2 linked regions of the Xenopus tropicalis genome follow. The protein of the gene in region 2 interacts with the protein of the main gene of each other region in a pairwise test. Links are inferred from orthologs where the notes say so. Each region holds a gene or a part of one and is shown on either strand. Other genes may lie near its edges.

Evidence for each region. The genes of interacting proteins can lie anywhere in the genome.
Region 1: the proteins of ddit3 (region 2) and cebpg interact in binary tests that used the Homo sapiens proteins (3 or more experiments, as listed by UniProt). The link is inferred for Xenopus tropicalis from reciprocal best matches to the Homo sapiens genes DDIT3 and CEBPG.

What each region holds. Positions count from the first base shown.
Region 1 is NC_030680.2:115,638,160-115,642,751, reverse strand, and holds the start of cebpg (CCAAT/enhancer-binding protein gamma), read left to right. Parts: upstream 1-1,660; 5' UTR 1,661-1,783; intron 1,784-4,592. UniProt on the Homo sapiens protein: Transcription factor that binds to the promoter and the enhancer regions of target genes. Binds to the enhancer element PRE-I (positive regulatory element-I) of the IL-4 gene. Binds to the promoter and the enhancer of the immunoglobulin heavy chain.
Region 2 is NC_030678.2:140,580,639-140,584,157, forward strand, and holds the end of ddit3 (DNA damage-inducible transcript 3 protein), read right to left. Parts: intron 2,869-3,519; 5' UTR 2,826-2,868; intron 2,393-2,825; 5' UTR 2,361-2,392; coding exon 2,217-2,360; intron 1,523-2,216; coding exon 1,037-1,522; 3' UTR 762-1,036; downstream 1-761. UniProt on the Homo sapiens protein: Multifunctional transcription factor in endoplasmic reticulum (ER) stress response. Plays an essential role in the response to a wide variety of cell stresses and induces cell cycle arrest and apoptosis in response to ER stress.

The DNA.
Region 1 (4,592 bases), on a different chromosome or scaffold from region 2:
GGGTATATTATTCACTATATTAAAGTGCACCCAACACCCCCATTTTGTTTCCCCCACCAGAGGTGGCAGTATACATGGTCTTTATTTGTTTAAAACTTACCTTCAAGTCAGAAATTAAAAAATGAGCACCAGCTTTTAGACGACTGGGAGTAACATCAGAGGTGTTAGTGAGCAACATGTTGCTCATAAACCAATGGTTGGGGATCACTGGGTTAGGGGGAAACAATAGTTTTCCTTGAAAAAAAAAAAGCCCATTTCAGCGCTAGGCTAGCTGCACTGGGAGGCCATGGGCAGCCATGTTGTGACACACATGTACATAATAAGCAAGTGCCACAACTCATTATGCGCGTGGCTGTGATGTAGGAGGATGAGTTGTATTAACCGCTCCCATGTCAGGCGCATGAGCATACTGAGCAAGCGGGGAAATTCTGTCAATATGCACATGTGTGCCAAACAACTTGGCCACCCGCACCGGGCGTTCCCTCCGGCGGCAGCTATTTTTTTCCTAGAAAAACTATATAGGGGAAACAGGGATTGTCTTTCCATATATTGCAATATATTAAAGTCAAAGAAGCCTTCAATGGCACCCGATCAAAATCTTCTAAGCCGCCCGATCGGCGAGTCAACCGATATCAGCAGCCTCCTGCGATAACGGTCGCCTCACCGACTTGCCATACATGCAACAAATATTGTACGAAACAAGGTTTCGTATGATATTAACGGTGTGTCTATGGCCAGCTCTAGATGTCACTGTGATCCTCACAGTATACACGGTCCCTTAGACCGATTCGGCAGCTAACCGGCTCGTGTATGGGCACTACCGACAGGCCTGCCCGACCGATATCTAGCCTGAAATCGCCCAGATATCGATCGGGCAAGTTAAAAAATCTAGTCGGAACGGGGACCGCATCGGCTCGTTGATGCGGTCCCCAGACCGACTTTGCCTAAACCCGTTGTTATAATTCGATCGTTTGGCCCCAGGGTAGGTGGCCCACCCGTAGGTGGGGGATATCGGGAGAAGATCCGCTCGCTCCACCCACAGAACTTACAATTGTATTTAATATTACACAGCACAGGGCACTACTTTCTGGGGATAGGGCAGTCTGTTATGACAGGGGCAAGTGATGAGTAGAAACTGGACCATTATTGCACATATTTGGACAGAACCAGGAACAGACAGCTTACCAGATAAAAGCTGAACAGGTACCATCCCTGTTGGACTCAACGCTGGGCCTCAAAATGAAATATTAATATAAAAAAAATTGAAAACCACTAAATTAAGATCAAGTATAAAAATTCTAATTGATTTTAGACAATTGTTAAGTTCTCCATTAAATTTTAGTGTAACATGCTGATAAGATACGTCTCCATTAAGTAAATAGTTTGGCAGCACCCTGTATGATACAGTTCTGCAGAACACATACAGGTGAGGAGTGCAAACGAGGCTGTTCCAGGGACCTCATAGGGAAGGACAGCAACTTGTAACAATAAAGTTACATATGAAAAAGAAAAAAATGGACTTGGGATCTATGGGCGGGGCCGCTCACCACTTGCCAACGACGGATTGGCTGCCTCTGCTGCCTGTCGGGGGATTGCATCATGCTGCCCGAGAGAGGAAAGATCCGAGTGATTTCGCAACAATCTATTGTGCGGTTCGGATGATCCACAGCCCCGAGTGTCCGGAGGAGGAGTAACCTACGGATCCCTAGTGAGGACAGGGGAAACAAGTCGTGGGGGAGGGATAGGCTTCCCTCCCCGGGCAGGAGGACCTCGAAGCCATCAGGTAAATTGTACTGTACCGGAGTAGAAACGTCTCAGAACGGCTGCCTTTTACCTGGCACCCTGCAGGTGTTCGGCTGTATTTCCCTTCAGCGCTCACAGTGTCTGGGTGGTAGGGCATACTGGCATTTGTACCTAGAGACACCACTTCAGACACTTCATGGCAGTCGCATAACTCAGAGGGGAAGAAGTTGTAATTAAAAGTTGGGGTTCAGCCTTTAGTTGGGATACCATCGGCCTCCAGCTGTGGCAGGGCTTTCCTTCTGATGGGGGTTATGGGATTTGTAGTTCTGTAACAGCCTGAGCGTTACCCTTCTAATGCAAGAAGCATACGTACATCGCAAAGCCTTAAGTGCTAACTGTTACCGGAGGGCTGGCAGGGAGATGCCGCCCTGGGAATTGACATAGTTTGTGAGTGGCTTTGCGCTGATCCACACTCAGCCCACTGTCGCATCCGACTATATCGCACATGCAACAGTTGTGCTCTAAACCTTGACTATTCCGTAGGTTTAAAGTAACAGCTTTCGGTGGGTGCTGCTGGCCATCCCCCCATGTTGTCCTCCTGAAAAGTCTGACCCAGACTATTCTGTATTGCATAGCTTTGCCTGTGCACATAGGAACAAACTCATTCCTTATATCAGATATTTCCTATTATATGTGCTTTATAGGTGTGTGATGCTTTTAGAGAGTGGGGAGAGCCCTGGCGGATACTGGTAGGAGTACAAACTGTGTAGAGGGAGAAGCCCCTGCCTTAATGTGCTTTGTATTGTATGATGGACCATTAGCCACTATTCAAAAACAAACCGAATACTCACTGAACACTGCAATAGTGTATTTACTGAGCCTGTTATGCCAGGTGGGAAACTACCAGTTGTAATGGACATTGTGACAGCCAGTGATGGTTATGGCAGACCCCAGATCCCAAACAATTTGGTTTATAGTTCATGTGCCTAGCTGGGTGTTGATAGAGGGGATTTGGCCTTGAAAAAAATGGTATTGCTTATTATAGGCTGTCTTGTCTATTCAGAGTTATTGTTTTTCAACGGATTAAGAGTTCTATGGTTGCTAAGCAGTATATGTAAGGGATATTTTTTTATAATAACACCTAACAATGATTACTTAAAAGATAACTATACCCCCGGGTGCAAAAAGCCCCCTTAACTATCATTGCCTAGACGCCCTCACCTCGCAGTTGAGGTGGATTTCCTGCTACCTGCAACTGCACATGAGCAAGCAGGTTCATATCAGCGGAGAGACTTTCTGTGTATCTAACTGGTAGTGTAGAATATTGTATAGTTTCAGGAACTGATTTAACTTGCCTGTCTGCCTGGAGGTGCAGCCACATTCAGTTCACTACTTTCCAATGTAATTGATGGGATCATTAGTCAACCCAGTGTTCTCTTTGACCAGTATACTATGGTGAGAATACACTTGTGACTGAAGTACTAAATTGCAAATTTGGCCTGACTGCTTACAGTCTGAATGACCAAGATGTCTGAATAATTGTGGGCATACATGTTAAGATCTGCTTATTTGGCGAGGTCAGCAGATGATCATATCTTCTGCCAATATGCCCACCAAAGGTGGGCAATATCAAGCTAAATCAATAATTTTACCCTAGGGCCAAATGAATGCAGCCCACAATCCAATGGGAAAATCAAGCCTGCCGATTGACCACTGGACAATTTTCGGGCAGATATCATTTAGGAGGTTTGTCGGGGTGGGGGGCATACGCATGCAGATAAGCTGCCGAATCAAGTCGGCAGCTTAAATCTGTCCCTGGGCACCTTTAGTTAGCTTGTGTGTCCAGTGGTTGCAGGTTAACTTAGCTGCCTTAGAACAAGGAGAATCAGGATATGATGGTGACTTAACGCTTCAGTTAGTAAAAACAGTAATGGGCAGTCAATTATCAAGCCAATAATATTTAAAGTAAATGCTGTATATTCATTTACAGATAATCTTTAAGTTGTTTGTATGTTCACCCTGTGCTTGTGTAGGTTTCCTCCCAAGAATGACAATTCTACAAGCATTAAATAGTATAAAACCGGTAGGGAATTGAATAGAAAGACACTTAGCAAGCCCCCCATGAGATGAAGATCAGAGGCCAAGGTTGTGCCCGTAGCTTTCTTGTTGATATCTATAGTTTACCCTGTGTAGTGAGTTACATTGAATTCTAAACTTGGATTTGCTAGCAAGTTGATGGTGGCATGTACTGTGCAAGTGTGATCATGTTTAGCTGAATGCTGGGTGTCTCACTTACCTCATACAGAAAGTAAAACTATTCCAGAATAACCCATGACTGTTTCAGAGTTTCCATACTGCACTTTGTGCTTAGTATGACTCAGGATTTCAGGGCAAATGCTTAGTAGCGGAGAAAATTGTGCCATTCTGGCAGCAGCATTAGAAATGCCACAAACCTCACTGGATTCTAACTGATTCCTGAACTGACAGGGTTTCTGCTCCAGTCTTACATGTCGCATCATTCTCAGGAACTGTTAGTAAGGTGTGTGTTCCGCAAGCGTGTGCAGCCACACGTATTTAGTCACGTAGCTGTGAGCCACATTTCATTATATAAGTATCTTAAAGTGATACCGACACTAAAAAACTACTTTTCAAAATATTATTGTACCTAAAAAGTTACCTATAGGTCATGTTGATAATTTTTCACAGATAGGGCTGCTTTTTGTTACTTGAAGTTCCTAAACCTGACTGTTTAATCAACCTGACTGTCCCTTCTCAACCTGTTGGTTAAAGCTTATAATGCTAACAGACTACTGGAGTACAGATATGGCAGCCTCCTCATAGAGGAACAT
Region 2 (3,519 bases):
TTTTTCCCCGTTTCTTTTAATTCAAGCCCCCTTTTGTAGTCCTGATAGCTGCCTAGCAAGCCAAGAAACTACAAAACAAGATGTTGTGGGGCACCTGGAAAAAAATATGACTAGTGTCCTGTGTTGGGTCAGGTACCTGTGGATTAGCTACAAAGTCAGGACACTTCTAAAAAATATTGGGATGTCCCAACCATGTGGGTGATCCATAAACAGCCTTTAGGGGCAGTCACAGCAAACTGAGCCACAGTGACATCACTTCCAGTTTTTGGCCCCCACACATTGGCTGTGTCCATGGCTGGATTTTATGTTTAGCTTGTAACACAGCTACAGTTTGAAAAAGCAGTCATTTTCACTCCTTTGTAGAAATAGATGTAATATTCATTAGATGTAATATGTAGCTGAAGAAGAATTGCACACATTTGAGAAGTCATACTTAATGAAAAATCTTATTTTAAAATCAGAAAGCAATAAGAAATTGCACTGTTGTGCTTTCCAAGGATGCTAGAACAACTTTGGCGTATAATGAATTAAAGGTGGTCATACATGGGTCAATAAAAGCTGGCGATGGTCAGCAGTTATCAGCCCATATATGGGGCCCTCAGACAGACCTACCCAACAGATATCAGGCCAAAAATTGGCCATGTGTCCTGATGGCCTCCAACCCATGTGAGCAAATATATCCCCCCAGTGACACTGCTTGGACTTTGAAGCAGATTTGTATCAATAAGGACCAGATCTTAAATAGTACATAAAAACCAAAATACATGCAATATTAGTTTTATTAAAATACTTGATTAATATCAGGGGATAGCTAAATGGACATGGTGTAAATTGTTTTGGAAACAGACACCGTGCAGATTAACCATGCAATATACAGAGCGCAATGCATTCCAGACTAGATAAAGGACTAACCTGTAACTCCTTACATCAGTATTTACAGAGTACCTGCTGAAAGTCACAGCAGTTCTACAAAGTTTACTTTCCTAAAATAAAAGTATAGTTCTCATAGCAAGTAATTGCTGATTTATTTTGAGTCTTAGTCTTTTTTAAGGTTCACCATCCGGTCTATTAAAGCCTTCCTAGTCTGCTCCACTTCCTTACTTAGGCGTTCAATCTCTCCCTTTAGTCGTTCATTTTCTGCTAACAAATGGGACACTTTCTTTTCATTCTCCTCTTCCTTTTCTTTCACACGTACTTTTCCTCCTCGTGACTGACTGCTTCTCTTTCTTTTTGATGGTGGCTGGCTGGCAAAAGATTCCTCATCCTCTGTGTGGGTATGTACTGAAGAGCTACTGCAGTAATCGAGCTCAGGCACGTCCGACTGCGGAGTATCATCACTTACTGGGGAACCAGAGAGCTTACAGTTGTCTTGTATTTCTGAGTTTATTAGTTCCAAGACAGCAGAAGGCAGCTGTTGTACAGCAGCTTCTAAAGCATCAGTATCCTCATTGTCCATAACCAAAGGTGACTCAATAGTCCACAAGTAAGGAGATTGGTCCACAGTTTCCATTTGCTGTAAGTCCTAAAAAAAAGAAAAAAAAATTAGGCATTGTAGGCCAGAAAATACCTGTAAATTAAGCAATTAGGGCATTTTGCTTAGAACTCTTCCCACCACATGCTGCCAGTGTGACAGATCAAACAGAACCCCCAAGGTTCTAACCACTAACCTTGCTGAAAGATGGCAACAGCATGCTTTACATAAAAGTACCTAAGCTGAGGAGCGTTGAGGAGAGGTGATGAGCTTTGGTGCAGGGAACGTCAGTACAATCTTGTTCCAATGGGTGTAGTAGTACTTTTTCCAGAGAGTTCTGTACTATTCATGAGGTCAGCTACAAATAGTGAAGCCTGGACCAATATGGTGGTCATGCCCAGGCTGCCCCTGGCTTCAAGGCTGAATGGCCACAGGCCTCCTTAACACCTCAGCTCTACTTTGTTAGAATTTGCTTTCAAAGAGCCAATGTCATGCTGGGATTTGATTTGGGTGAGGCTTGCTTAACAGGCCCTAATAGAACAATTGTTAAAGAATCCCCATCTGCCCTGCTAATGTATAGCAATGCCAACCTAAAACTTAAAATGCTGTTTAGTTGTGATCCCAAAACCCAGACAGCAGATTTGCGGACATCAGACATTGATGTTTTTCCCTCAGTCTAATGCTAGATAGCCAACCAACAAAATGAGAGCAAACAAATTAGTTGGTCACTTATAAAACCACCAACCTGCTCTTCTGAAACAGGGAGCAAATTCCCAGTGTCCTTTGTGTCGGCCCACAAGATGTCTTGAAGATCTTCATACCAACATTCCAGCTCCCACCCAGACAAAGTGGCCATGGGGCCACAGAATGGCAGAGACTCTGCCATCATTTTGTATGGCAATCTTGCTCAGAAGACTGTTTCTGTAAAAAGGGAAAATAAATCAAAATATGTAAAAATGCAGACAGTGCCACGTGCCTTACCTGCAAGCTGAGTGGGGGGGGGGGCGCACTGCTAGGCGATCAGTCACCCAAAAAGTTAGGGTACACTGAAATAGAAGAGCTGGTCTATGGAAGCAAAGACTGGGCTGTGCACTGCATACGAGGACTCCTTACCTAGAGATGTAGGAAAACCAAGTATGTGCAGATGGCATAGGCTTCCAACCAATCCAAGACTTATATGTCATTTTATGAAAGCATTCAATGAATCCAAAGGTTTAGAAATGCCTGTAGCACTTTAGGGGTTTAGTTATGATAAGAGGCTTCCATCAGCCTAGTGGTCCTATAGAAAGGCAACTACATGCTGTATATGTTCACAACTACAGTTTAGCCAAAGGCTTAGATTTCAGTGTCTTACCTCAGGTATGGTGATGTATAAAGATTGTCTTTCTTCTCCAACACTATTAAAAAGAAAAGCGTGATTAGCTTTTTTTTTTTGTAAAAAAAAAAAAAAAAAAAAAGTTTATAGCAAGGCTACCATATACATTATATATAGATACAACAGTTCAGGCTACTCGATACAAAAACAGAAGTCAAATACAAAAAAAATTGCTTCAGTGGTGCTTAACACTATTATTACTAATTATTAGGAAACCGTTTGAGCCAGAAAAATCCATATGCATTTATTATAGAAGAGGGCACATTTTATGATCTGGGTCTATATGTCAGGATTAATTCTCTTTCCCAGAGGTTTGGAGTTGTGTAATGGATAACGAACCCTACCCACAGTGAGGGCCTAAACCCTCTTTAAATATGTATTCATTTGTCTGTCTTTTAGGGGTGGTAGATGAATTGGTTACCTGGAACCACACAAGGAATTGAGATCAGTCATCTTCTGTGCTCCAAAAATCCCATATATAATTAAATGGACCCACCCGCACTGGCAGAATGGATTGCATTAATAAAAAACTCCCTTTAAATCAAGCAGACATACATAGCAAGAACTCCCTGCAGAAATCTGAGGCAATATGGTCCCCATGGCTAAATGCCATTGCCCTATTAGACCTGCCCAGTAACTTATTTCAACCAAATAAACAGAGCTTAATCTGAAA